Canis lupus familiaris: one gene and its partners. The protein of the gene in region 3 purifies or fractionates together with the protein of the main gene of each other region. This does not show direct contact. Links are inferred from orthologs where the notes say so. Each region holds a gene or a part of one and is shown on either strand. Other genes may lie near its edges. The genes, in order: AP2M1, REPS2 and RALBP1.

What was found.
Region 1: the proteins of RALBP1 (region 3) and AP2M1 purify together in Homo sapiens (affinity purification with mass spectrometry; 3 studies listed by BioGRID and IntAct, counting the BioPlex papers as one, with this or other methods). This does not show direct contact. The link is inferred for Canis lupus familiaris from reciprocal best matches to the Homo sapiens genes RALBP1 and AP2M1.
Region 2: the proteins of RALBP1 (region 3) and REPS2 purify together in Homo sapiens (affinity purification with mass spectrometry; 3 studies listed by BioGRID and IntAct, counting the BioPlex papers as one, with this or other methods). This does not show direct contact. The link is inferred for Canis lupus familiaris from reciprocal best matches to the Homo sapiens genes RALBP1 and REPS2.

The regions. Positions count from the first base shown.
Region 1 is NC_049255.1:17,239,780-17,249,557, reverse strand, and holds the start of AP2M1 (AP-2 complex subunit mu), read right to left. Parts: upstream 6,724-9,778; 5' UTR 6,605-6,723; intron 4,562-6,604; 5' UTR 4,519-4,561; coding exon 4,445-4,518; intron 2,542-4,444; coding exon 2,276-2,541; intron 1,527-2,275; coding exon 1,444-1,526; intron 1,043-1,443; coding exon 1,037-1,042; intron 834-1,036; coding exon 698-833; intron 611-697; coding exon 469-610; intron 32-468; coding exon 1-31. Other genes in the region: DVL3 (segment polarity protein dishevelled homolog DVL-3), read right to left, coding at 9,495-9,526.
Region 2 is NC_049260.1:13,170,634-13,180,665, reverse strand, and holds the start of REPS2 (ralBP1-associated Eps domain-containing protein 2), read right to left. Parts: upstream 5,543-10,032; 5' UTR 5,473-5,542; coding exon 5,239-5,472; intron 1-5,238. UniProt on the Homo sapiens protein: Involved in ligand-dependent receptor mediated endocytosis of the EGF and insulin receptors as part of the Ral signaling pathway. By controlling growth factor receptors endocytosis may regulate cell survival.
Region 3 is NC_049228.1:75,537,325-75,547,295, reverse strand, and holds the start of RALBP1 (ralA-binding protein 1), read right to left. Parts: upstream 5,420-9,971; 5' UTR 5,282-5,419; intron 4,969-5,281; exon of another isoform or gene 4,825-4,968; intron 4,792-4,824; exon of another isoform or gene 4,757-4,791; intron 1-4,756. UniProt on the Homo sapiens protein: Multifunctional protein that functions as a downstream effector of RALA and RALB. As a GTPase-activating protein/GAP can inactivate CDC42 and RAC1 by stimulating their GTPase activity.

The DNA of each region.
Region 1 (9,778 bases), on a different chromosome or scaffold from region 3:
GCAGTCATCGATGGCAATTGATTGCTTTCCACTGTGAGCAGGGGCAGAAGGTCTCCTCGTTGGTACGAGAGAGTTGGGCTGGGAAGCTATCCCAATGCAGCTTTCTGCCTCAGGGTTCCCTGATGCTGACTTAGGGATAAGTGTGAGCTTTGTAAGCTCACCACCTCTGGAGAACTCTGCTGCTTGGGACCCAGAGGTTTCAGGCACACTGGGGAGAGGCCATCAGTATATATAAAACAGTCTCAGTCCTGGGGATCAAACAAAGGGCCTACCTACTCCTTAAGATGAGGACAATCCTCTCATCTCTCTTAAGCACAGATGTCAAAAGCAACTAGCCAAGCACACCCTTGGAAAGTGGGAGTTTGCATTACTGCAGAAATGATAATCCTGAAGGAACCTGTGATTCACCAGGCCCCACAGAGCCCTCCAAGGTCTACCCTCTCCCACCAGCAACCCTGCCTCAGGCACCTCTTGCTTGTTTCATCAGCTGTGCCTTTGCCTTGCTTCTCAATGACAATCTTGTCATTCATCCCAAACTTGCATTCAGGCATGCCACTCAGGTAGCTCTTCATCACCACCCGGCCTGACACATGGGCACTCAGCACCTGCCCTGGGGATAGACATGGGAACATCTGAGTTAGGACGAGGATCCTGCCCTGGTCCTGCCCCTCCAGCTTCATCACGAGAGGGCTCTCACCCTGTGGGGACATGAGGAGGTTCACACTTTCCAGCACATCCAAAAAGAGCTCATTCCGGCGATACTTGATGCCCTCCCGCCGCCAGCCAATCTGCCCAGTCACCTGGCTGGTGATCTGGGATTGCTCTTCTTTTGTCTACACAGAGGGGACAGAGAAAAACACTAATGGCCTCATTGCTCTCCACCTTCAATGATCCCGTCTCTGTCCCTACTCCACTCTCACTCCCCCTCCCTTCTAGTCCCCATCCTGTAACTCATCTCTTTCATAAGCTCCATGAAGCAGGGCCCGAAGAAAACTGGATCAAAGCTGTAAAGGTAGAAGCTGAGGGAACAGCTTACCTGATGCTGGAGGCCAAAGGGCCAATGTGATGCCAACCGGAAGCAGTAGGGGGACACAGACGGGAAGAGGCAGGCAGAAGAGAAGGAGAGGGCAGCTATAAGGCCTGTATCCTAGAGGAAGGCCCACGCTCTCTCCCCGAGGAACACCAGGCCTCCAGGGCAGCCCACACCCTTCCTTCCCCCAGTACAGAAGGAAACTGTTTGAACCCTATTCCCAGTAACAGAGATGCTGAGTCGGCTGCTCCTAGGGTGGAGGGCCACATGCAGCAAAATTGGCCTGCAATCACAGTAGAGGGCTCAGGCCTGTGCTTCCTGGTAGAGGCGGGCTCTTGAGTGAGCGGAGACAAGGCTAGGGGGAGCTTGAGGAGGATGGGCCCAACCCTTGCTGTGGCTATACAAGGGAGTACCTGGCTCTTGATACCCTGCTGAGTGATGAAGGTTTTCAGTGCTCCTGTCTCTGAATTCTGTGGATAGCCAAAGTCCAGGATCTCTGCAAAAGGAAGGGAACTATCAGCCCTGGAAAAAGCTGAAGGCTCCTTCAGTCCAATATCTCCCTTGGCCTGGACAAATCTGGCCAGCAGAGCTCTAGAAGAGTGTGGGATCATCTGCAGCAATGTCCTCTAGCTTTGTAGCATTTACTTTGAGATTTGTGCTTCATAAGACAACAATTAAAACATCAGATATTTTTCACAGAGAAAATGAGCAGAAGAATCTTATGGCCAGTGGGTGAGAGATCAAGAAGCTCTGAGTCCTTAGAAAACAAACAGACCCTGGGAAGGTAGAAAGACTCTGTTCCTTTCAATCATACCCTACAAAGGAACAAAGATAATGCAACCCCAGAAGCCGGTCATATCTCAACCTCCTTCAGGCTCTGAGGCAGAGCCTGTTGAGATAGAAAGCTGGAAGGACAGTCAGTGAACTAAGGCCCAAACTACAAAGGTAAGAAGGAAACATGCTTAACTGTAGGAGGTCCAGCTACCAAGCCCCAGATAGGTTCCTAGCCCCCTGAAAAATCTTTTGGTTCTCTGCCCCCTCTCCCCACCTCCACTCACTATTTCTTCTACTTCAGAGCTTCTTTTGGGGCTGAATTTAGACTGGCCTTTTCAGGGCTCAAAAGAGCAGATATTCAGGAAAGAAAGTTGAGAGGGCACTGGAGGGAACCTCACAAGTGCTCCTACCTCCAGGCTAGGCCCCATCAGGTTCATCCCCACCCTAGGCCCACCGCCCTGCCAGCCTCACCATCCAGTAGCTCATATATGAGCACAAAATTGTTCTTGATGTTCTCCTCGCTGATCTTGCCAAAGTAGGCAGCCATTACATCACACATCTTATAGAGGAATTCGAAGACCATGGCAGCATTGACATTTTGCTTGGTGACAGCTGCCAACCAGATGTTGGACCGCTTAACATGGAAGAAACTGGTGCGAGCGATGTTGGTGACGGGGCTGCGCACCTGCTGCCGGGCGTGGATAACATTGACTCGAAAGGCATCCACTGCATTCCTCCTAAGGGAAAAGAGTACACAGGGGCTGCTCAGCACCCAGGCAAACCCCACTCCATGGGGATCAACCACAGCTGCTAACAACTTTTCATCCCTTCACTGCTTAAGTCTGACACGTACTATGAATCTGAAGCCAAAGCCTAAACTACTGGGGCAGTTCCCTTGTGGCTCCCAGCATGGGAATAGGACCAGAGCTGGGCTGGTGTCTGAAGGCCACCAGAGACAGGTAAGTCAGGTGGGAATGACAGGAGAACAGGTATAGTGTTAATAAAGTGAAGTCCATCACACTTAAGGAGGCATGTTCCTGATGCTGAGGCCTGAGGCCTGCTGAGGTCCCAATTTCCCAGCTGCCACCTCTCCAGCTTCTCAGTAAGCTCGAGGCCCAAATGACAAAGACAACTTGCTTGTTCTTCAGTTCTCCCACTTGTGATCCCACCAGTGGGAGGTCTGGCTCTTCTAGAAGTGAGGCAAAGCCAGCATAACTTCAGAGTAGGCTCTAATCTAATCTAAGGAAGAAGCACCAAGGGGCCATGGAGCTGGGCCATTTGTTCCCGTCCAGGATCCAATTCCAGGACAAGTTCAGGGAATGAAAACAGACAAAGAAAACAATGATGGGGGGCAGGGCCCCCCACCCACCTGTGCCTGGGCGGCAGCTTGACAGGCTGCTTACCTATTGCTACGGCAGCCAATGAGATGGGATGAGAGAAATGACGCCAGCAAGAAGAGGAGAGTGACAGCAACGAGAGAGAGGATTAGACACACAACATCCTGGGGTAGGCTGCACACACCATGAAGTGGAAGCAGACGAGCAAGAGGCAAGGGGTGGAAAGCATAGCAAGTCATGCAAGACAGTAGGTGCCCTGGCTTAAGCAGGTCCATCCAGGGCAGGCAGGAGGGGGTGTGGATGGGTATAGCCAGCCAGGTTCAGGCAAGCCAGGCACTGCCACAACTCTAGTTCATGCCCTACCACCAGCCAATGGACAAACAGCCACAAAGGCCAGGCCAGCCCACTAGCCAGGGAGCTGGGAGCCAAGAAGCTATTGGGCTCTGCAGCAGGCCCATCCTATAACTCTTTAACCTAAGCTCTTGGAGGAAGAAAAACAGGGCAGCATGAACCAGAGATGCCTAATCTCATTAGAGCTGCTGAGGCTAGGACATGTCCTCTCATTCAGGAAAGAATAGTGGCATGCAGTGTGGGGCAGAGTGAGAAGGCAGGCTGTGTCTCTTTGCTAAGGTCTGAGGGACCTAGAACAAGGAGCTATTCCGGGTCTACTCTGGTAGGCCAGGAAGGGCAGCATGGCCTCCCTGCCCTTCCTTCAGTGACCCGGAGAGTGCCCCAAGCTTGCTCACAACCTCTCTTCTAGGAGTGGCCCAGAGGAACTGAAAACAGCTGAGTCAGCAGCCTGCCTCCTCCTGAGAAAGGGAGTAGGAGAGGATTTGGCAGCCTGGAGAAGCTTTCAAGAGAATTCAGTGAAGGCTCTCACCGTGAGAAGGGCTTTTGAGAGCAAGACTTAGATGGACTAGTACCACTAGCCTGTCCACTAACTTCACCCCCTGGAGAAAGATCTCCCTCCTCCTCAAGGGAGGAATTCATCTACCAGGGCAAAAGCACTCATTTCTAGCAACTAGGTCTGTCACTAAGGAAAGGAGAAGGCAGGAAGGACAAGAGTTCCTAAGACTGTGGGGGGCCACACCATTCCACAGGTCCCACCTATTGGCCAATAACTGGCTGCCAGGCCAATACCACCAGACCTAATGGGAACCAGATTGTATTAGCTGAGCTTCTAAGATGCAGCGAGGGATGGGGGTGGCCAAAGTCCAGTCTCTGGTAGGAACGGACCTGGTCCTGCATGCTGGGGAGGAGGGATGAGGGGTGGGGACACAGCTGGCTCAGCCAGGGGACTCACCCGATGTCATCTCGGTAGACCCGGGAGATGAGCACCTCCCCCTTGTGATTATAGATGAATAAGCCTCCAATCATGGCGGCAGCTCAGTCTCCAAGGCCCATCGCTCTGAGAACAGACCTAGGACAGGCGGAGGCAGGGTAAGGGAAGGCCTCAGAACCTCTGCCAACATCCCCTGTGGGGCTGTGCAGGTCACTGGCTGGGCTTTTTTTCCTGACTCAACCCTCCAGTAAGTGACCCTGAAGCCCTCCCCAGGCATGCCCCTCCCCTTAGCCAGGCTCCAGTTCCTGTTTATCTCACACTGGAAAGGAGAAAGAAATGGAGAGGGACTTGGGCCCAGGATTCTAAGGCCATTTTGACCCTCCCTTTCCTGGGGCTGAGCCCAGAGTGTAGCCCCCTCCCCCTCTTTTCAGTGCTGAGCTCAGCACAGATCCTTTTTGGCCCCTTCCTGTGCAGACTCTCACTCAGACTCTAGCCGGTGAGTCACTGGGAAGGCCTGCCTGCGGCTGCAGGAATGGCGGTAGGAATTATTCCACTTGGTTCAGGCCTGGGGCCCCCAGGCACGGCTTTAGGAGCACCCGGTCTCTCAGGCTCCACTAACCCTTCGGAGAAGACAGCAGGGCCTGAACCTGTGGCTCTCTAATTCACAGAAGTCTAAACATTCCAGGAAAGGGTGTGCAGGGTGTGGGGAGGAGACAAGGGAGGCCTTAGGCCCTGACACAGACCCTGGAGTGTGGCTCCAACCAATCCCAGGCAGTCAGATAAGCAGGCAAAAGAGCAGAGGAGAAAGGGCCCAGCCTTGGCCGACTACACTTCAATGACCCAAGCTGCTTATTAGTTATTTTTAACCACCTCCCTTTCAAAAAGGGAGGATCCCTCTCAGTTCCCAAGTGCAGTAAAAATAAGGGGGTGGGAGTACAGGTTTATAAAACACAAAGATCAATCCAGCTGACATTCTATGATTCCAGAACCATGACATAACTCATTTCTGGCCTGAGTACCTATAAGGAAGGGGCAGAGAATAGGTGTGCATTATCCAAATTATTTGGGTCAAAATATTTGCAAGGAGAAAAAGGGTTAATTTAATTCTAGATTTCCTGAATTAGCTCTGGTATTGATTTTACAGGGCAGAGGGAGTTTAGCAGACTTTTCTAAACTGGAAAATAAAGCCCTATTACTGAGGCCATCAGGGTCTCCCCAACTCAGTGAGAGGTCTCTCAAGGTGGTGGTGGACACATTCCACCCCAGAGTCCCAAAAAAGGCTGGGAAAGGAAATGAAAAATGGGAGGTAGAGCCCCGGGCAAAGAAGCAAGTTCACAGATATCAAGTGGTAGGGGCCGCAGGGCACCGAAGGAGCGGAGGTGGGGCCCAGGGCAGGAGGGGAATACTGAGCTAAGGGGAAGGACGGGCAGAAGGAGCCAGGCGGTCTAGTCAGGTGAACCTGCAGCAGCAAGAGGGCTGGGGCTGGGGGCTGGGGGGCGGGGGGGGGGACGGGGACATCTGGAGGAAGGAGTTTCCAGTGTGGCAAAGGTCAAGACTTTGAAACAGCAGGGAGGAGACTGACAAGTGGCGAATAGGGGAAAGCTGGGGCGGCGTTAACTTGCTTTAGGGTTCAAGTGTGGAGGCATGACGGGGGGTGGGCTCTTCGTCTAGGGGAGCAAGACATCGCGGGGATGAACATGGCTCCACGGGGCTGCGGGGGCTGTCACAGGTCTGAGGAAGAAGAGCCGAGGGGTGTCACTCAACTGGGGGGAGGGGGTGCGGCTGGTGGGAGGCCTGTCACAGCCCAGGGAGACGGCCCGAGGGGGTGTCACCGTCGAGGAGATGGGGGAATTGTCCTTGCGCTGGGAGGAGGCGGCGCCAAGGCACCAGGGGGGCTGTCACGATCCCGAGGAAGGGGGCGCCGCGCGGCATCCTGGCTCCGGGGGGACCCCAGGAGGTCTCCCTGTCACGGAAGGCGCCGGACTGCCGGTGGAGGGCGCCGCTCCCTGCCCACCCTGCAACCGCGCCCCGGGCGCCCCCGCCCCGCCGTCAGCTCCAGATCAGAAGGCTGAGGCCCCTCCCGGCTGTGGGCAGCTTTTCGCGCAGCGCAGTGCAGGGAAGGGCAAAGCTGGGTAGCGGGGTACGCGTTCTCCCTTACTCTCCGCCGGATTCCGAGCTTACCTGGCGTCCGCGGCCGCCTGCTCGGCCCGCCCGGCCACTCTCCAGATCCCAAGATGTCCGCCCGCCCCCTGCTCGCCAGCCCGCTGCCTCGGCTTTCACCGCAGTGCCGTGGCCCCGCCCCGAACACAGTTGCGCGTGCGCGTCCGGCGACCGAGCCGACTACAAATCCCGTCAGGCCCTTCGGCCTTCTAGCTTACAATTTTAGCCTTTCTAGGTTTAGGAAGACTACAACTACCGACTGCCTTCAGCGGGTTAGGCGTGCCTTGGGGAGGGATAGGCGTGGCCACATCCCATCATACTCCGCTCCACTCGCTTCATTTTCCCTACCGAGCATTCTGGGAATTGTAGTCTGCAATCCATCCTGTTCAGCGTCTAGGAGAGCTTCGGAGGATTAATGCCATTTGTTGAAGCCCATCTGTTAAGCTTGAGATTGCTGTAGGCCTTTTCCGTCTCTGGAGTCCGAACACTGGCTGTGCTCACTTTACACACACACACACACGACTTGGCAGAAGTGTTTGCACTAAATTTACTGCTTTCTAACACCAGCTCTGATTTTCCCAAGACTTTTCATCAAATATTTGTTCCAGATGTGAGCCTCTTCCCAGGGATCAAGACCCAAGTAAAAGGGCAAAGATGGAGGAGGCAAATACTTGTAAGAAACTAGCCAAAGCTTTTCAAGAATGTCTGTTCTATCCCAACTACACATACCTATGTGACCCCTTGAGGCCAGGACCTGTGTGCCTTCTAGTGATGGCATATATGTTGCTTAAAAAACTGCTGGCAAGTTTAGCTGGACATGGAACTTGAAATCCCTTCTCTAATGAACAGAGTTAATCTTCACACCCAAGCTGAGAAGAAAAGACAGAGCAAACCCTCAGATATGAAAGCCCTGCTTGACTTTTACAGGACCCGAAGAAAATGTTAGCTCTTCTCTTTCTGTACGGAGAGCTTCCCTTATGCCTTCACTGGTGCTGAGCCCATCATGGGAGGAAGGGCAAAAAAGGGCAAACCTGGTTACAAACCCTACTGTCCCAGCATCCTCCTGCTAGAAGCCAGAATGTGGCAGGATGAAGATCTGGCCTTCCTCAAACAGTGGTCACCATGTGAATCCATTAAGTGACTGAATACAGGCATTTCTAAATCTTGAACCGGCACTCAGATCTTCACTGCTACCTTTCCAAAAGCTTTATCTTCAATCAATAATACCCTACCAATTTAGAATAAATAATAATAGTAGTAGTAGTAATAATAATAGCTACCATTTATTGAGCACCTATTCTACTCTGTGCCAGGCACTGTGCTAGGCACTTTTCGTACAAGTCTAATTTAAATCCTCACAACAACCCTGTGAGGTAGGTATTATTATCATCATTTTACATATGAGGGAATTGAGGCTCAGAGAGATTAAGTAACTCTCTTATCACGAAACCAAAAAGTAGTAGAGCTGGGATTCAAGCCCAGAACAACCTGACTCCAAATCCCGTGCTCCTATGAATTAGGGTAGAGGCGGGGGGAGAAGAAGGACCATATTCAAGAAAGACTGTTGAAGTGGAATGGATATGATATGCTGACTAGTAAGAGTTGGGGAAGAATTTAAGTCCATAAATGTTCCTAGCTGGTATGCCTATGTAGACTGTGCTAAAGATCATCAGAGTTGGAATTAAGGAGGAACACACTTGATGGGGGAAATGAGTTGAGTCCATATAGATATGTCCATGGTGACGTCCAGTGGATAACACAGATCTAAAATTTGGAGAGAAGTTGTGGCTGGAGATAGGCATTTTAGAATCACCAGTGTATCAGTGGCAATTGAGGACATCAGGATAGATGACACCATTTGGGTAGTAAACTTAGAGGAAAGAGAAGTGAACCAAAGATGGAACACTGGGAGCACCAACATAGAAGGCATGAGCAATAGTGGAGGAATTCTCAAGGGAGTTGAACAAGGCAGAATCAGAAAAGGAAAAGTATAGGAACCAGTCCTGTAGTGGTGGGAGAAAGCCATGGCCTTGGTTGGGAGCAAATCTAGAGCTCCTAGAACGTAAGCAAGACTGAGTCATGCCTCCAACACAGCCCTTGGTCACCAAATACCCCAGGAAGTACTTGTTAAATGAATAAATGCCAAAATATCTCTACCCTGGTTTGCCCCAGAGCCTGGAGCTTAAGACTGAATCCTACTCTTGACACCCCAGTCCTAAAAATATAGATGCCTCAGTCAGCCAGGAGAATTTATAGAAGAGGCTTAAAGAGAAAGTCATGATTTGCTTAAACTGGAGAATAAGGTAAAAAATAAAACCTAGCATTCAGGATTCCCAAAAGTCCCCCTACCCAACCTTTCTCTGGGGTATCATAGTGATTGTGAAATCACAGAAGGTTGTGTGGGGTAAGGGGCAGGGTGAGAACAACCTGTCAGTTGCTTGGGAAGTCCTTTGCAGAGCCTAACCTGAGATCCAGCTTATGAGCTTTATCCAGGTAGGAGGATGATGGGGACATGTGTGGGAGGCTTGAGGGCTATAAGGGAGGGGACAGGGAAGTCGGGACCAGCCCTACGACCTGGGAGAGAGGGTCCGGCCCTCTGGGTAGGGACCAGCCCTGAGGCTTAAGTGAACTTGCGTAGGCACATGTGTGTATGTGTGTGTGTGAGAGAAAGAGAGAAAGAGAGAGAGAGAGAGAGAGAGAGAGAGAGAGAGAGAGAGAGATGGGGCACTCTCGGGAAAGGGGAACAGAGTCTCTCATACATGGGTGAGAGTTTGGAGCCCTCCACAAAAGCCTAGTGACTCAACATGTTGAAGTGTAGGTGTGGGAGCTGAACATCCTTGGGAAGCCCTGAGGGGCTGCTGAAGCAGGGCTTCTGGTCTCCTCGGAGGCTGGGCCTCCCTTTGCTGGGGGCTCACAGAAAGTCAAACAGCCCGAAATTCTTGGCTGCTCCAGGCCCAGGAAAAATTGAGGGAAGAGAAAAGAAAGAAAAGAAATGTTTCAGGCCCAGAGGTGAGATGAGCCTGGTTAGTAGGGTTAGGGGTCTGATGGAACCAGCACATACAGCAGGCATGGGGGAGTATGGATATAGGGGTAGAACAGTTATGCTTCCTGGAAGCTGCTAGCAGCTCAGGCAACTTAGGAGGCCTTTCTGGGCTTCTAGTAAAGGCTAGCACAGGCTGGGATAGTGTGGATGGT
Region 2 (10,032 bases), on a different chromosome or scaffold from region 3:
TTCAGCCCAGGGCGTGATCCTGGAGACCCGGGATTGAGTCCCACATGGGCTCCCTGCATGGAGCCTGCTTCTCCCTCTGCCTATGTCTCTGCCTCTCTCTCTCTCTCTGTGTGTCTCTCATAAATAAATAAAATCTTAAAAAAAAAAGATGGCAAATAAGTATATGACATGATGCTCAACATCATGTCATTAGGGAATTGCAAATAGGAACAACAATGAGATATCACTACATTCCTTTGGTCAAAATCAAAAACACTGGTATTGTTAAATACTGCTGAGAATATGGAGCAACATGAACTCTCATGCATGGCTGAGGGGATTGCAAAATGGCACAGCCACTTTGGAAGACAGTTTGGCAGTTTCCTATAAAACTAAAGATACTCTTACCATATGATCCAGCAATCATACTACTAGGTATTTACACAAAGGAGTTGAAAACTTAAGTCCACACAAAAACCTGCACACAGGTATTTATGCCAACTTGAGCCATAACTGCCAAAACTTGAAAGCAACCAAGACGTCCTCTAGTTCATGAATGGATAAACTTTGGTCCGTCCAGACAATGTAGTATTATTCAGCACTAAAAAGAAATAAGCCATTAAGCTATGAAAAGACATGGAGGAATCTCAAGTGCATATTATTAATGAAAGAGGCCAACTGAAACGATTACATACTGTGTTTTTCTAACTATATGACATTCTTTAAAAGTGCAAAAATATAAAGACAGTAAAAAGATCAGTGGTTGCCTGGGGTTGGGGGTTGGGGGTAAGAGGAAGGGATGACTGTGCGGAGCAGAGAGCATTTTTAGGGGCAGTGAAACTATTCTGTATGATATTTTAATGGTAAATACATGTTATTATACATTTGTCCAAACTCATACAATGCTCAACACCAAGAGTGAACCCTAATGTAAACTATGGACTCTGGGTAATTATGATATGTCAATGTAGGTTTATCAATTGTAAAAAATGTACCACTCTGGAGGGAAGTTTTCCTAATGGGAGAGACTGTGTATGTGTGTGATCAGGAGGCATTATGGGAACACTATGCACCTCTCCTTCAATTTTGCTCTGAACCTAAAACTGCTCTAAAAAATTGTCTTAATAAATATATATTTTTTAAAAAAACATAAGAACGTACAACACCAAGAGCAAGTCCTAATGCAAACTATAGACTTTGAGCAATAATGATATGTCAATGTCAACAAATGTACCAGTCTGGTGAGGGATGTTGATAATGATGGAGGCTGTACATGTGTGCTGGTAGGGTATGTATGGGAATTTTTGTACTTTCCCCATTACTTTGCTACAAATATAAAACTGCTCTGAAAAAAATAAAATTTATATATAATATTTCAACAGAAAAATTCTTTTTTTAATTTATTTTTTATTGGTGTTCAATTTGTCAACATACAGAATAACACCCAGTGGTCATCCTGTCAAGTGCCCACCTCAGTGCCCGCCACCCAGTCACCCCCACCCCCTGCCCACCTTCCCTTCCACCACCCCTAGTTCATTTCCCAGAGTTAGGAGTCAACAGAAAGAAATTCTTAACATAACTTTCATGACAAAGTAACAGGTATATTTTTACTGCAAGGAGGAGACAAAATTAAGTATTTTTGTAAAACATTTACTCCAGGTAAGATTTTCACTCTGCCTGAAACATCATGGTAATCTTAATTATATGCTTATTAAGATAAAAAATCTGGCTGTTACCATAGAAATTACCAGGGATGGTTAGTGCCTCCATGATTTGAGCAGTTATACCTGTTGGGCCACTTAATTCTGAACTTACAGGTTCATGTTTAACAGGGAAAGGCTAAAAATGTCTACATTTGTTTTATTTTTTTTTTTTTTTTTTTTTTTTTTTTTTAATTTTTATTTATTTATGATAGGCACACAGTGAGAGAGAGAGAGGCAGAGACACAGGCAGAGGGAGAAGCAGGCTCCATGCACCGGGAGCCTGACGTGGGATTTGATCCTGGGTCTCCAGGATCGCGCCCTGGGCCAAAGGCAGGCGCTAAACCGCTGCGCCACCCAGGGATCCCTCTACATTTGTTTTAAAGAATGGCTAATACACTCATGGGGAAATGCAAATTGAGGTAAATGGAGCATGCACATACACATCAAGATACAACACACCACACCACACCATACCACACATCACCAAAATGGTTGGTAAAACAGGTGACTGCTGAGTGCTACCTTTGCTTGAATCTCTTCTGATTACATTTCCCTGTCCAGGATGCCTTTGATGTTCATTTTTACCTGCATGAAGAATACTGGACTATTGCAATTATATTAGGTTAATTGGGAAGGATGTATTTTATTTTGCTGGACTGAATAACAGAGCTTAAAGCTCTGAGAGATTTACTACAAGCAATCTTCTAGGCATGTCCCCCTTTGCCAACATCTGAAGCAGTCTTCTGCAAGCAGGTTTCAACTGGACATCAAGAGTATAACATCATTCATGCAAATGCACTGTGCCTTGGGTTCTTTCTAAATCATATATACTTCAAAGGAGCGTGTATTTTTTCTAACACCAGGAAAGTCCCCTCCCCAATTCCTTAGGAGTGGGGAACCAACACATTCACATTTAGCATGTCCGCTTTCTCTTATCACAGTACATGTATTACTGACTACAAAATAGGTCTTGGCAGGTGCCCAGCTGTCATTTACTTGCTGTGTGGCCTCAGTCACTCATTCCTTTTTCAGTTGAAAAGTTGCAAGAGCATTTAATAAATTTATATGGTTGGGAATATTCTGAGGGCCTCAAGTAATGGCCATGGTTTGTGTTTTAATACACTCACTTTTTTTTTAAGATTTTATTTATTTATTCATGAGAGAGACAAACAGACAGAAACACAGGCAGAAGGAGAAGCAGGCTCCCCGAAAGCAGCCGGATGCAGGACTCGATTCCAGATCCTGGGATCACGCTCTGAGCCAAAGGCGGACGCTCTACTGCTGAGCCACCCAGGCGTCCCAAGACACTGACTTTTTGTGTCTACCTAGTTCAGCTCAACCACAAACAGCAATTGCAGAACTTTCTACATAGAAAAGACTTCTTTAAAAAAAAAAAAAGGACTACTTAAGGGCTAAACAGCCATGCTAAGTTCTGTGAATACTAATTACATTTTCAGAAATCCTTTCTAAAAGGTGAAAGAGGGGATCCCTGGGTGGCTCAGCGGTTTAGTGCCTGCCTTTGGCTCAGGGCGAGATCCTGGAGTTCCAGGATCAAGTCCCACATCGGGCTCCCTGTATGGAGCCTGCTTCTCCCTCTGCCTGTGTCTCTGCCTCTCTTTCTGTGTCTCTTTCATGAATAAATAAATTAAATCTTTTTAAAAAATAAGATAAAAGGTGAAAGATTACAGAGTGGCTAAAGTTATGCTCACAGACATATAGGCATATGCATGCTCCAGCAGCATAAAGCAGTCTTAAATGGTAAGAAAAACGACCTACAAACACAGTGACATTGTAACTGAGCCATAAAATCCTCACTAATCCTCTGAAACTAGATTTTAAAATACCACTTCCCACTCCAAATATTCAATTGATGTTAACTTTTATACTACTGCTTTCAAGAAAAGCTTCATTTCCATGCACCCCTGTGTTTATATTTTATAGCAGCATTCTTACAACAGCCATGATATGGAAGCAGCCTAAGTGTCCATGTCCATCAATTGATGAATGATAAAGATGTGTGTATATGTTTATATATGTATATGTTTATACACACACACACAACGAAATTTTTTTTCGCACAATGAAATATTATTCAGGCATCAAAAAGAATGAAATCTTGCCATATGCAATGACATGGATGGAACTAGAGTACAACGCTTAGCAAAATAAGTCAGAGAAAGACAAGTACTATATGATCTCACTCATATGTGGAATTTAAGAAACAAACAAATGAGTAAGAGACAAATCAAGAAAGATACTATTAACTATAGAGAACAATCTGATGGTTACCAGAGGGGAGGAGTTGGGGGGATGGGTGAAACAGGCGATGGGGATTAAAGAGTGCGCTTGTCCTGATGAGCACAGGATGATGTATGAAGTACTGAATTACTATATAGTACACCTAGAACTAATATGACACTGTATGTTAACTGGAATCAAAATTAAAACTTAAAAAATAATTGAAAAAAGCTTCATTTCATGTTTTGGGCCTGATTTTAAGAATCTTATCAACATGGGACGCCTGGGTAGGTCAGCAGTTGAGCACCTGCCTTCAGCCCAGGGCATGATTGGGCTCCCTGCATGGAGCCTGCTTCTCCCTCTGCCTGTGTCTCTGCCGCTGTCTCTGTGTCTCTCATGAGTAAATAAAATCTTAAAAAAAAAAAAAGAATCTTATCAACATGAAAGCCTGGTGACATCAAAAGACGATGGTTATCAAATAGTCTTTCTCCGAGCTCCAAGGAAAGCACAAAACAAAAACAGCATGTGCTGTGGATCATCCCCTCCTCCTCTTCCAGGTATGGAGCAGCTAAAAGGAGGTAGCTGTGACACACATTACTTTCCAGTTCTGTTTCAAGTGCATGCAATAAGATGGGAAACTACAGCTGTCTCCTATGCTGGACCTCTGGGGTCTATCTCTGGCCCTAAACAGTAAGCTTGGCTTTGCCTTGACTGACATCCTCTTACAGCCCTTTGTCCCTGCTCTGCAACGTGTTAAGGCTTTCCAGTTTAATATCAATATTCAGAAGTACATTAGTGAGCAAATACATATAGTAGATATATATATATATATTAATACGTACATGGGGCGGACAACATTGAGTTCTGGGCCCCGCTGTATACACACACACACTTACCTAAACACACACTTGGAAGTTCAAGTTCCAGCAAGGCACCCTGAGCACCTACCCCCTTCCACCCACCCAAGGGAGGGAAAGGCAGGAGCAGCGAGCAGAGGTTAAACCAGACACCAGCCAAAACAAACAGCACTTCCAGAACAAGGCAAACTTTGGGTCTGGGCGGCTGCAGAGCCCCAGCAATGGCCGGGGGAGGGGAGGGAGCGTCAGTCTGTCTCAGGGGAGGAAGACGGGGAGCGCACCCTCCAGAGCTGCGGAGGAGGCTGGTGCTCCCTGGGGGACAAGGGCGTCGCCGCCATCCCCGACTTCGACCTGGCCGAGGCCTCCAGGTCCTTGAGCAGCCCTATCGGCCCACCTCGCCCCCTGATCTCCACAGAAATGGTCCCCACAGACAGGCGCCGGCTGAGGGCGCGGGGACATACCTGGTGCAACGTCTCGGCGGGCAGCTGCGACGCCCGGAACAGGTCGGCCACGGGGCCCGCGGCTGCGGTGACGGTGCCGGGGACGGTCCTGGCGGCCTCAGGGGGCCCGGACCCGGGGCCCCCGCCTGCGGCGCCGGCGCAGCGCGCGAACAGCTCGGAGTAGCACTGCTGCTCGCCCTCGCTCAGCAGCAGCGGCGGCCCGGAGCCGCAGCCCCCGCCCGCCGCTGCCTCCATGGGGCCGGGAAGGGGGTCCGGCGAAGCACCGCCACCGGGTAGGGAACAGCTGCCTCCGCCTCAGCCTCCGACGCCTGGGTCTCGGCCTCGGCCGCCGCCACCGCCCCCACGCCCCGCAGCTGCCGCGCCGCCGCTTCCTCCCGGCGCGCGCCGGCCCCGCCCCCAGACTTGAATGTTGTGCCTCCGCCGCGCGGCACATGGAGACAGGCGCGGGGCGAACCAATCGCAGCCTGGGATCGTGCCCCGGCCCCGCCCCCGCCGTCCGCCCCGCCCCGCCTCGCCCCGCCCCGCGCCGCGCCAGGTAACTAACTCCGCCGGCCGCCCGCCCCGCCCGCGCTGCCCGGACCGGGAGGCCGGGGGCCAGCGCCTGACGCACCCCCGGAGCCCCGCAGGGGCGCCTCCGGCTCTCCGCCCTGGCTGGGAAGGGAGACGACTAGACCCACCTGGAGCATGGCGCTTTTCAGGGGGCGGAGAAAGCTGTGGTGGTTTTTCCCTAGAACTGGAGCAGGTGCGGCGCCCTTCGCAGAAGAGGGGGGAGACAGGAGAAATTAAGCTTCCCTTTTTGCATAGTGCGCTTCTGTCCTGAAAAGCTGGAGGACAGAGATCTCCAGAAGAACTGCTCGCAGTGACTCCGCTTAGCATTCATGGTGGAGATGAGGTTAGGCTACTTTCTCAGGTATGGCTCATACCTGGAGTTGTGCCTTAAAAAGGAATACCGTCAGTTAGTGTTAAATACTAGAGTGATAAGAGTGAAAAGGGGCCCTGGGAAGAAGAATTGCATATATATATATATATATATCATATATATCACATATATATCATATATATCATATATATATCACAAAGAAAAAATGAGTCCAGAATTAAGCACTAATAAAAAATACAATTTCAAATTTAATAAACAGACATATATAAACCTTTCACCCCAAAATAATTTTACTTTAACTAAAAACAAACACTATCTCAAGAAATAGCACTGATGATAACAAATATACTTTGGTATGTTGGTCAAACTAAAATAAGGAGGAAGGACAAGACTGAGAAAAAAAATCAACAAATGGTGAAGGGGGAAGAAATACATAAGAAATAGATAACAAAAATGATTAGAGTGCCTGGCAGGTTGATTAGGTGGAGCATATGACTCTTGATCTTAGGATCATGAGTTCAAGCCCCACTTTGGAAATAAAGTTTACTTAAGTAAAACAGGGGGTTTTTTAACAAAAAAAAAAAAAAGAAGAAGAAGAAGAAGAAGAAAAATTATGTCAATCCATAAATGGTGACCAGAGTAAGATTTCCCTTTTGGAATCTAAGGACATGAAATAGAGAAGAAGATCCACTCTAAAAGCAGGAAGTTCTCATCTCTTCACTAAGATTTCCTTATACCACATTTTGCTTTACAGCTACCAGGAGAGAATTAAGCTTGTGGACAAGAATACAGAGAGGATAGGTAAGTAAGGAACAGCAAAGACTATCTTAGCTGGGGAATTACCATTTTAAAATCTCACCACCTCCTGTATTTTCCAAACTGTGATAATTTCTAAGGAAAACTGGAAGCCAAGAGATCATGTTTACGCCCTTCCTACCTTTTTAGTTACATCCTTGGGATTCCCTGAGAATCACCCACTATTCTTTTTTTTTTATCACCCACTATTCTAACAGAGGTTAGAAAGGGACTCACCCTTTGTGATAAAAGCCAAAACCTACTTTCCCCTGTGACACCTGGAAAAAGAAATGTGAGATATAATAATCCCTAATATTCATACAGTTCAAAGCTACATTATCTCATTTAAGACTCACAGTAACTCTCTGAGGTAGATTGGGAAAACATTTTCATCTTCATTTTGCAGATGAGAAAATGGATGCAGAAATGGTGTGATTTACCCAACTGAATACTAGATTCGAAGCTGCTCTTCATTATTCAACTCAGTTTAATAAATTTGACAGATACTCATCAGCACTGCAGATCCTGCTGAAATGCATAGAAAGCCTTACATCTGTGCCTATCCATCAAGCAGCACTTATTGGTAGAACAGGAAGTATTAACTGTGTCCCTACGGGGGTACTGTGAGGGATTAAAAAAAAATACAAGACGTGTTCCTTTCAAGGAGTCTGCAGCTTCACTGGAAAAGACAAAACTAACACAACAAAGAAAAACAAACAATAAAAGACAATGTATAATTAAGTGCTAAATCGTGTACCCCAGGCTAAGCGCTGTGGGAGTTTAGAGAAGAGAGAAAATCCAGGAGCCAGAGCCCAGCCAGGAAGGCTTAATGAAGAAGGCACCCAGATGGATTATTGACAAATCGGAGGGACTGGGGGAGGTAAAAGGAAGGACAAGAGAGGGAGGCTCACAGAAGAGGGAGGAGCCCCAGGGTTGAGGCGCCAAGACAGTGGTGAGTGTGAGACAGCAGACTGGCATGGGAGGGAGGGAGATGGCGGGTAGAGGTGGGGGGAGAGGGACAGCCTCTCTGGGGCTCTAGGATCCCAGAGGGAAGGTGCTCAAATGGAAGACAAGAGACAGAAGTGACCCAACAAGAGTTACATTTAAACCCAGGATGCAGGAGGGGAAAATGGCATTTTTTAAATGTTTTAATATCTAAGGAATGCCAAGTACTGTTCTTTATTTCAGTAGTTTTTTGAGTAAAAGCAATAGTGATCACACTTTAGAGTTAACACAGATACGAATGTAAAAACTAGAAACACTCATATCCCTTAAGGCTGACGGTAAACAAGAATTTTTTTAAAGATTTTATTTATTTATTCATGAGAGACACAGAAAGAGAGGCAGAGACATAAGCAGAGGGAGAAACAGGCTCCCTACAGGGAGCCTGATATGGGAATTGATCCCAGGACCCTGGGATCACAACCTGAGCCAAAGGCAGATGCTCAACCACTGAGCCACCCAGGTGCCCCAAACAAGAACGTTTTAGAAGAGAATTTCTTTTTACTTTTTACAATTCTAAATTTACACACTTGTTTGGGCTCCATCATAGCAAAAGGCCACAATGATAATATAGTTGACCTTGAAACAAGGCAGGGATTAGGGGCACTGAACACTGTGCAGTTGAAAATACACATATAGGGCAGCCCTGGTGGCGCAGCGGTTTAGCGCCGCCTGCGGCCCAGGGCCTGATCCTGGAGACCCTGGATCGAGTCCCACATCAGGCTCTCTCTGTATGATGCCTGCTTCTCCTCTGCCTGTGTCTCTGCCTCTCTCTGTCTCTATGAATAAATAAATAAAATCTTAAAAAAAAAAAGAAAATACACATATAACTTTTGACTCTCTAGGAACTTAACTAATAGCCTCCTGTTGACCAGAAGCGTTACCCGATAGCAAACACAGTTGATTAACATATATTTTGTGTATATATTACATACTATATTCTTACAATGAACTAAGCTAGAGAAAAGTGTTTTTAAGAAAATCATAAGAAGGGCACCTGGGTGGCTCAGTATGTTAAGTGTCTGCCCTTTGGCTCAGGTCATGATTCCAGAGTCCTGGAATCAAAACTGGCATCTGGCTCTCTGCTCAGTGGGGAGTCTGCTTCTACCTCTCCTTCTGCAGCTCTCCCTGCTCCTGTGCGCTCACTCTCAAATAAATAATCTGTGATCTTTTCTTAAAAAGAAAAGAAAATCATAAGAGAAAAAACATTTACAATACTGCACTGTATTAATGGGGAAAAATTCACAGATTAAGTGGACCGGCGCAGTTCAACCTGTGTTGTTCAAGGGTCAACTGTATATCAGGAATAGCCAAGAGACAGTCTTGAAGTTTTGCTTTTTCCTTTTAAATCCAGCATCAGTGCCCTGTATGAAGATGGCAACTAAACAAACTCAGAACAAAGTACTGTTTGCATGTAGGGAAGAGTTTCCTAAAGCAGGGGTTGCAAAACTAGGACCAGTTGCCTGGTTTTATTTTTATTTTATTTTAAGAGAGAGAGAGAGAGTGGAGAGAGAGGCAGGGGAAAGAGAGAGATTCCTGAACAGGCTCCACGCTCAGCACAGAGCCCCATGCAGAGCTTGAGCCCACAGCCCTGAGAGAATGACCTGAGCTGAAATCAAGAGTTGAATGCTGGGATCCCTGGGTGGTGCAGCGGTTTGGCACCTGCCTTTGGCCCAGGGCGTGATCCTGGAGACCCAGGATCGAGTCCCACGTCGGGCTCCCGGTGCGTGGAGCCTGCTTCTCCCTCTGCCTGTGTCTCTGCCTCATTCTCTCTCTCTCTCTGTGACTATCACAAATAAATAAAAATTTAAAAAAAAATTAAAAAAAAAAGAGTTGAATGCTTAACTGACTGAGCCACCCAGGCACCCCAATAGTCTGGTTTTGTATGGCTCATAAGCTAAGAATGGATTGTACTTTTTTTAAGTAAACTCCACACCACACATGGGGCTTGAATTCATGACCCTGTGATCAAGAGTCTTGAATTAAAAAAAAATAAAAATAAAAATAAAAAAGTCTTGAATTCTATCAACAGAGCCAGCCACATGTCCCAGGTTGTACTTTCTTTCTTTTTTTTTTTTTTTAAGTAGGCTCCACTTTTTTTTAAATAGGCTCCCAAC
Region 3 (9,971 bases):
ATGGCCAATATGCACACGAAAACATGGCCAACATCATCAAATCAAACCCACAATGAGATACCAATTCACACAAGCTAGGACAGCTAAAATTTTAAAAGCCAGAAAATAACAAGTGTTGGTAAAGTTGTAGAGATATCAGAATCCTTACACTGCATAAATGAAATGGTGCAGCTGCTTTGGGAAACACTTTGATAGTTCCTCAAAACGTTAAACATAAGAGTAGCCATATGATCTAGCAATTCTATTCCTAGGTATACACCTAGGAGCAACATACATCCACATAAAAACATGCACATGAGTATCAGTACCAGTATTATTCACTATAGCTGTAAAGGAGAAACAACTCAAACAGTCACCAGCTGATCAACGGATAAACAAAACATGGTATAACTCAGGAATAGAAAACTAGTTGGCAATAAAAAGAAATGAAGTCCTGATATATGCTACAATACGGATAAACCTTGAAAACATTATACTGAGAAAAGGAAGCCAGTCACAAATAATCACATATGTGATTCCATTTATATAAAATGTCCAGAACAGGCAAATCCAGAGACAGCAGCAGATCAGTGGTTGCTAATGGGTGGGAGCAGAGGAAATGGTGAGTGGTTGATAATGAGTAAAAGGTTTCTTTTTTGAGGTAATTAAAACGTTCTAGAGTTGACTGTGGAAATGGCTGCATAATTCTGCAAATATACTAAAAACTACTGAATTGTACACTTTAAAAGGATGAATTTTATATGAATTACATTTCAATAAAACTGTCATAAGAAAAAAGCAGGTTCAAGTCTTTGCCATGTTAAAAATCACTCTCTTAAACCTTTTTACCATCTGCTAACACCTCTTTCCAGTCTTCCTGTCACAGCTAAGATTTGTTTATTCTTGAAATAATCCACATTTACTTTCTTCACTCTCTGATCTCCCATTAACTTCCCAATTCAAAGAAACTAGCCCCTTCCCCAAATGGTAGCATTAAGTAGAAGGTTACAAAACTGCTCTTAGTTATCAAATTCAACAGACTCCTAATAATCCTTGTTTTACTCAAGTTCTCAAAGCATTTGAAGTACAGCTTCCTATTTTAAATTTTTTTTCTTTTTTCTGGAGAGTTAGTAGTGAAGCATAGCTTCCCTTTGAAATGATTACATTTTGGCTTATATGACATTTTCTCATGACTTCCTTGCATCTCTAAATACTTAGGAATTTCCCTTTCCAAGTCTTCTTCCTCTATCTGGCTTTAAATGTTATTCTCCATTGTCTATTTCCAGAACTACACTCCACTGGTAAGCTCTTCCTACATGGTATTACAGAAATCAAAGATTTCAGCTACCACCTATAATATAGCCTGCTGACCCTCAGAGCAAGACCTCTCTCTTCGACTCCAAACCCACACACCCAACTCTATAGCTGATGCTTCACCTGGATGTTTCATAGACAACTCCTCAACATATCCAAAAGCTGAAATACTGTTCCTCCCCCCAGTTGGCTCCCCTTCCTGAAGTCCCTGTGTCAGTACAGTTGACCCTTGAACAACAAGGGTTTGAGCTGTGTGGGTCTACTCAAATGTGTTTGGTTGTTTATATATATATATATATATATATGTGTGTATATATATATATATATGTATATATATATATACACACACACACACACACATATATACAGCATTATAAATGTATTTTTTCTTCCCTATGATTTCAGTAACATTTTCTTTATCTTTATTGTAAAAATATAGTATACAATACATAATATATAAAAATATGTGTTAATTGACCTTAAGTTATCAGTAGGGCTTCCAGTCAACAATAGGCTATTAGTAGTTAAGTTTTGGGGGAGTCAAAAGTAATATGCGGATTTTAGACTGCAAGGGGGAGGTCTGCAAGGGGAGGGCTGGTGTCCCTAACACTCACACTGTTCAAGGGTCAACTGCAGTTTACCACTGTCTATTCAATGATCCAAGTTAAAATCCAACTGTAACTGAATCCTCTGAATTCTACCTTCTAAACGTTTGTGCTATTAATCTACTGTTTCGCATCTCCACTGACTCTGCCTTGGTTTAACTGAGGACCTTACTTGCCACCTCAATTATTTTTTTTTTTGTCACCTCAATTAGTACAAAAACTCCTAACCAGTCTTTCTGCACCCTGCCGTATCTTCCCTCCATCCCTTCTGAAATCTGCACTCTACAATACCAGAATGATCTAAGATGAATATTTTATGACTCTTTCCTGATTAAAATCCATAAACTCTATTATCTATATTCTAGGGGAAAAAATTCTAGAATCCTTAGAATGTCATGCAATACTCAAGGATCTATCTGTGCAGCCTCCTCTTGTGCAACTCACCACCATAAATCCAATGCTATAGTTGCAGACAATGGCTTCCAGCTCTCCGAAGTGTTCCACGCTCTCTAATCACATTCAGCTTTCCTTCTGCCTTAAGTTCCTCATTTTCTGCCTCAGTCATGCCTAAACCTTCAAGTTTAAGGACATAAAGCATAAAGTACCTAATGTAACACTAGACACATAGGAGGGAGTTAAAATGGGCTGAGCTGGCTTAGGCCTCTGTTTTCCCTATCCTGTCTCAGTGACTTCTATTTGCTTGTAAGACAAAAGTTGAAATTACTTCAACCGTGTATAAGACCATCCATAATTTGGCCCCTGCCCACTAGCTATACCTGCAGATCCTACAACTCACTATGGAAGCGGAGACTCCCATGCTTCTGCTCACACTGTTCCTTCTACCTAAATGTCCTTTCTTACTGTTTGCATCCCCTCCTGTACACACTTTCTCCTTACCACTGCCACCTTCCTCCATCTCTCTCTTCCCTTAGGAAACTGATCACTATCTCCTTTGTACACCTCTATACCCCCATACTTTCTCTAAGTAATCTTAAAAACATATTGTACTTGCTAACAGTTCAAGTAAGAGATAAAGTCTTATCACCCAGAAAGCAGGGGCACAGCCTTATCCATCTGTAAGTCCTCCTCACCTGCCATAGTACCTGCTAACACAGTAATTCCTCTAAACGATCCGCGTTCTTCTTTATTCCTTCCACATATACTAAAGTTTCTATCAGGAATTTTCTTTCAAAAAAAAAAGAAAGAACAGGGCAGCCCGGGTGGCTCAGCAGTTTAGCGCCGCCTTCCGCCCAGGTTGTGATCCTGGGGACGGGGGATCGAGTCCCACGTCGGGCTCCCTGCATGGAGCCTGCTTCTCCCTCTGCCTGTGTCTCTGCCTCTCTCTCCCTCTCTGAGTTTCTCATGAATAAATGAATAAAATCTTAAAAGAAACAACAACAAAAAAAAAAAAGAACATACTTTTGAATACCTTCAAGCCCCATCTCCCCTTGCCAAGCAAACAGCTGTGCAAATATAAGGGTGCAAATTAAAGTTGGTATTGATTCTCTGATACTACTTCTAGTTTTCCAAATAAGATCTAAAATGAGAGATACTATTTTGAAAAAGAGCCAAGTATGTCACATTGCTTCGAGACACTTTGTTCAAAGAATTACTTCTCGGTTGTTAGTTACTATTAAACTAGTCCACCCACGTAAATCTATGGGTCACTCTGAAAAGTGGGAACCACTTTAACTTCCTTCCTACCTCTCCTACTGCCAGTACCGTTTACAGCAATTACTCATTTTCAGAAAGACACTCAGAAAGGAACTAGCAAATCACCAAGACAACCGGAAAGGCGTCAAGGGAGGTTACTTTTCTTATTCACAGTCCCATTTGCTTGCGTTAGCAGGGCTGCCTCCATGATCACCAACCCAAAAGTCAGCGTGCTCCTTACCACCACTTAAATACTTGATGAGTAACCGCCAAGAATGATGGAAGGCTACGGAAAGTGCTGCAGCAAGCGAGCATGCCCACTCCACTCCAAAGTATTCAGTGAGAGCTCTTCTGGTGAGGCTGGATGATGTGTGAACTCCCCGTCCAGACGACTGTGCCTCTCTTACAAGGCACACGCACACTACCTCGAGTTAACATTCTAACTACTTTCAAAGACTCAACCAGGCCTTAGAGGAAACAAGCTGCTTGGCCAAGAGGGAGGCCCTGAAGGAATGAACCCCAAAACTCAAAACAGCGTTTAATTACTTCAGGTTAAGACTGAGGTGTGGAGTATTTTGAAAAACCTGTTCCATTCCTACAACGATTTAAAAAAAAAAAAAAAAAAGTGTCCTCAATAAGAGCGTTTTGGCACAAGCATACTTGAAATTGAGTTGTAAAAGGAATTCTCAACTCCAGATCTGTCCGTCCATCCGCAGGGAAACCTGAACGCGAGAGCGCAGCACCCAAAGGAGCCCCGGTGCTTCGTGCCAGCGGAGGGAAACCCCGGGAGCCTTGTCCCGGTGCACCGGGCCGGTCCTGGGGCCGCTCAATATTCCGGGGGCGATGAGGAAAGAGTGATTATATAAAAGGCGGAGTCCCCCGTCCCGGCGCTGCCGAGGCCTGGGGACTCCGCGGGGAGCGGCCGGCTCCCGACTCCCCCCTCCGGACCCCGAGAGCACCGAATCCCAAATGCCGACGCCACGAGGGAGGCCCGGCCGGCAAGTGGGAGGAACGGCCGGCAGCCGGGCGACCCCCGGGGAGCAGCCTGCCGGGGAAGAGCCCGCACTCGGGCAGCCACGCCCCCCACCCCCACCGCCAGCCCCGCGCGCCGCCTGACAGACGCCGCGGCGGGGCGCGCAGGAGAGGCTCCCCCGGGGCGCGGGGCCCGCCACGACCCCTGCGCGCCGCCGCTGCCCGCCACCAACCTGCGCCTGCCGCCGCGCGACCGCCCGCCCCGCCGCCGCCGCCGCCGCCGCCGCCGCCTCGCGCTCACCGTGCCGCCGCAGCCACCGTAGGCGCCTCCTGCGCTGCGCCCCTAGCCGGCCTCGGGCGCCCCATTCCCACCCCGCCCCAGCCTCCGCCTGTTTACAATGATTGGGACAGAACGCGACGAGCCGGCCCACCGCGCAAGCGCACTCCCTCCTCCCGCCGCTGCCGGCTTCCTGGGTCCTCCTCTCTGCGCTGACGGCTAAAGCCGTCAAGGGCGAACGCCCTGTGCCCTCGCGCGCGGCACGCTGGGAGGCGTAGTTCTCGGACGCCCAGCGCCCAGTTTACAAGAGGGCCCTCCGTCGAGGAGCCACACTACAACACCCAGGAAGCACCGCGCCTACTTCGGCCCAGAGGCTCGCTGAGGAGACTGAGGGAGCGCGCGAGAGAATGCGCCGCGGAGGGCTCAGCGGGCGCGTGCGCAGTTCCCGGTCTTGGGGGACTGGGTGGGAGGCGGCACCTACCTACCACGAGCGGAGATCGCCGAGGACGGGTTGGCGGGCAGCGCCTCCGGTGGTCTGGAGAAAGGGAAGCGCTTTTCTCTGCACGCTCTGGCCGGCTGCTCCTCAGCTCCCGAAGTGCAGCCCTTCTGTGCCAGCAGGCTCCGGCCGTCCTAACCAGTTAGACCGGCCTCGGGGGCCGGCCCGGCCTGCCCCTGGGTGGGGCATCCTCCCGGCCTTGGGCTGGGTGGGGACTCCGGCCGTGGGCCTCCGAGGGGAAATCTGCGTGAAACTGTGTGTGCAGACCCCGCCGAGAATTCCTGAATTGGCAAGGGCCAGCCTTCGGTTCGAGCTGGGCTGCGGGACCGTCTTCCGCCGCCCTCTTTGGCTCGACGTTTGCAGGGAACACCTGAATTAGGACTGCCCAGCCGCGTGGTTAGGTTGCGAAGAGAAATAACTTGAGTTGCAGGGAAGGCTGAAAATGACTGAATTCCCCCCCGGGAAACCTAAGCAAGGCTTGAAGAATTATTCTGCTAATGCATGGCTGGAAGTCGGGTCCTTTGAGGTGTTCTTGTTTGATTAAGGTTGGCTCATTATTAGGGGAATGATTTGGGTTAAATGCTCTTCCCAATCATTTCCATTCCTACGTGCGATACTCTCGAGAGATTCATTGTATAATGTCGATTAACCTATGTAACCTGTCTTGCGCTATACCTCTCAGATAAGCTAACAGATCTGAGAACAAGTCTCCCTTGTATCCTGCGTTTTCTTTCTTTTTTTTTTTTTTTTTAATATTTATTTATTCATGAAAGACGCAGGTAGAGAGAGAGAGGCAGAGGGAGAAGCAGGCTCCACGCAGGGAGCCCGACGCGGGACTCGATCCTGGGTCTCCAGGGTCATGCCCTGGGCCAAAGGCGGCGCTAAACCGCTGAGCCACCCGGGCTGCCCATACCCTGCGTTTTCTACCCAGTGAAGTTCATCCCCCTAAGCCTGAAGGTGAAGAGTCTCCTGGAATTAGATACCGACGTGGTCTGTTTTCTGACAGTTTGAGGAGCTCTTTTTTGACCCTCTGGCGACAGAAGAGTGTCGGCTGACCGCTGAGATGGGCATGTTTACGATGCCAGTTACAAGTGCTCCTTGCTCCATTAATGGGGACGAGGGATAGGCACTGGCCTGAGTTGGACATTATTGAGCCCTTTGTGAAATCGCTATATGGACCTTGAAATGATAAATTGACAATTCACTTGTGGTTGGAGGCTTCAAATTTCTTTCTCAGCAATAAACAAGAGAAAAGAAAGGCGGATATAGAAGACCCTCATTACAGTATCAGCCAATACTGAAATATTTGACATATGCAGAAAACTCCCAACAGCAGAATATACATCCTTTTCAGACAAATGAAACATTGTCCAGTATACATCATAAGGCAAGTCACAGAACAAATCTCTATAAATTTTAAAGGACTGAAAACATACAAGTTATTTTCTCTTTCCACAATGGAATTAGCAAAAACAAATTTGAGAAACCCCCGCCCTACATAACTGGAAATTAATATTTTTAAGTAATCCATAGGACAAAGAAGAAATCACAAGGAAAATTAGAAAATACCTGGAACTGAATGGAAACAAAAATACAACATATCAAATTTAAGGGAAGCAGCCAAAACTGTGCTTAGAGGGAAATTAGTAGCATTAAGTGCTTAAAATTAGAAGAAAGACCGTAATCTAAGCTTCTATCTCAAGAAGGTAGCAAAAGAGAAGTGAATCAAACCTAAATTAAGTAGAAATCAGGAAACAGGATAAAAATAGGAATCAAAAAATCTGAAGCATAAGGAAATAGAGAAAAAGACCCAAAAGTCAGCTCTTTGAAGATATCAAATTGATAAACCTTTGGCTAGACTAAGAAAGAGACCTAAATTGCCAAAATGAGAAATGAAGAGAGAATACTATAGACCTTACAAAAATGAAAAGTATTCTAAGAGAATATTATGAGCATCATAATTCTGATAATTTTAAAAATAGTTGAAAATGGAGGCTTTCCTGGAGAGAACAAATTACTAAAACTAACTGAAGAGAAAAGGAAAAGATCCAAATAGACATATATCAGGGTAAAAAACTTGAATTAGTAAATATAAATCTTCCCACAGGGAAAAGGCCAGATCAAATGTCTTCACTGGTGAAATCTATCAAATATTTTAAGGGGAAAAAATAATACCAAATCTATCAATACCTTTTTAGAAAATAGATGAGTAAGGAACACTCCTCAATTCATTTTATGAGGACAATCACCCTTATAACAAAACCAACAACATCACAAGAAAATAGAATATCCTTCATGAATAGTACACTTTAAAAGGGTCAATTTTATGGTACAAGAATTATACTTCAATAATGCTTTTTTTAAAAATATGAGACTTGGATTAAATATTCTAAAGACTACACCACCCTTGGATGAACAGAGTAAAAAAATCCAGTGCTTGTTGCCTGTATCCTTGGGACTGGCACCTAAACAGTTCACTGGGTCATGGCACTGTTACATAGTTGAAATGTCCTATTTTTATATTGTTAAATAAATAGATTATAATTTAATATTTAATAAATAATGAATATTAAATAAAATGTTATAGTTTTATATATCATATAAAAGATACACTATTTAGAGCTCATGACAAAAATAGGCGTCCGAACTGTAAGAGTTCACATTTGCTCTTCACAACAATTCACCCCACAACTCAGTGGCTTTAAGCTATTCTACTGCTCTTGCAGTTATAGTTAGTTGGTGGATTAGGTGGGAGTTGGACTCATCTGGGGCAATTGGGATGGCTAAGCTTCTCTCTGCAATGGTCTCTCATCTTCTTAAGGTTACTTGTATTCTCAGCATGCAAACATGTCATTTACTAATGTCCCATTGGCCAAGCCAAGTCATATGCCATGCTCCAGATTCAAGGGATGGAGAAATAGACTCCACCTACACGGAAGCACTGGGAAGAATTTGTGTCCATTTATTTGCAATCTATGACAAGAATTCTCGAATCTCCTTGGCTCCTGCAGGAATGATTTTATAACCTCTAAGATCTGTAAGTTAGTGTGAATTGACACCTTTTAGTTGAAACAACCATAAATCATATGTGAGTAAAAACTACATTCTAGTATCTTCCCTCCAGTTCCCTCTAATCCTAAAGATTGTCTAGGAGTAAATAAACTACAAAGCTGATTCAAATGAAAAATTTACCTTACAAGCATCCATCCAATATAGTAAAATTATTTCCATTTCTATTATATTCTGCAGAGACAGTGCTTAATTTAATCATCTCGGGGGGGAGAAATGGTAAAATTTATGTCATAATTTTGAAGTATAACACTTGCTTTTTAAAGTTATTAGTGACAATGTTGAGGTTTTTTATTTAGAAATAATAATTTGTATCATGAGTTTATGGATCATGGTTTTGGCCTAGATAAATCTAAACACATAAAAGTATTTTTCTGTTTCCTTGCCACTGGGACAGAGGACTGCCTTTCCCCCAGCTCATTGCACTCCCTACCCCACACCTACTCCTGCTTCTGGGATCTGTAAGTAGCACATCTTGTGATTTTACTTCCATTGTATGTGTTAAAACTGCACCTTCAGGGGCATCTGAGTGGCTCAGTTTCATTTCAGCTTAGGTCATGATCACAGGAGTTGGGCTCCCTGGTCAGCAGAGAATCTGCTGAAGAGTCTCTCTGTGCCCCTCCCCCCGCTCAGGAGTATGTGCTCTCTTTCTCTCTAAAAATTAAAAAAAACAAAAACAAAAACAATAAACTGTGCCTTGGATCAAAAGGACCCCAGGTTTTTTCTTCTCAAATTGGGAGCTCAAATGCTGAGGCAGTTACCAGTCAACCCTGTGTGGGTTTCTTGTGCCTCTTCACTCAGCAGGTCATAATCTACATATTCTTAATTTAATACACCAGCTATGGGCCCTCAAACACACCTCACATAGTTTAAAGTATCTTTTTTCTTTCAATTAGCAATAATCGCGCCTTGGATAAACCTCATTGGCTACGATACTGCCACTGCGCAAAGCTGAAAGTATCTTTTTTCTATGCTGACAATTAACTGACTGGATTTGGCCAAGTACAGATTACAAATTCTTCTACCTCAAGACATTGAAGACTTTGCTATAATCCTCCTAGCTTCTAGTATTGCTGTGGGAAAATCCAATGATATTCTGAGTTTTGATCCTTTGTAAATAATCAAAAACCTTATATTTTCTCCTTCTTTAAGAAAAAAAAAATTAGAATCCAGAGGTGGACCCTCAACTTTATGGTCAACTAATATTCAACAAAGCAGGAAAGACTATCCACTGGAAAAAAAGACAGTCTCTTCAATAAACAGTGCTGGGAAAATTGGACATCCACATTCAGAAGAATGAAACTAGACCATTCTCTCACACCATACACAAAGATACACTCAAAATGGATGAAAGATCTAAATGTGAGACAAGATTCCATCAAAATCCTAGAGGAGAACACAGACAACACCCTTTTTGAACTCGGCCACAGCAACTTCTTGCAAGATACATCCACAAAGGCAAAAGAAACAAAAGCAAAAATGAATTATTGGGACTTCATCAAGATAAAAAGCTTCTGCACAGCAAAAGAAACAGTCAACAAAACTCAAAGACAACCTACAGAATGGGAGAAGATATTTGCAAATGACGTATCAGATAAAGGACTAA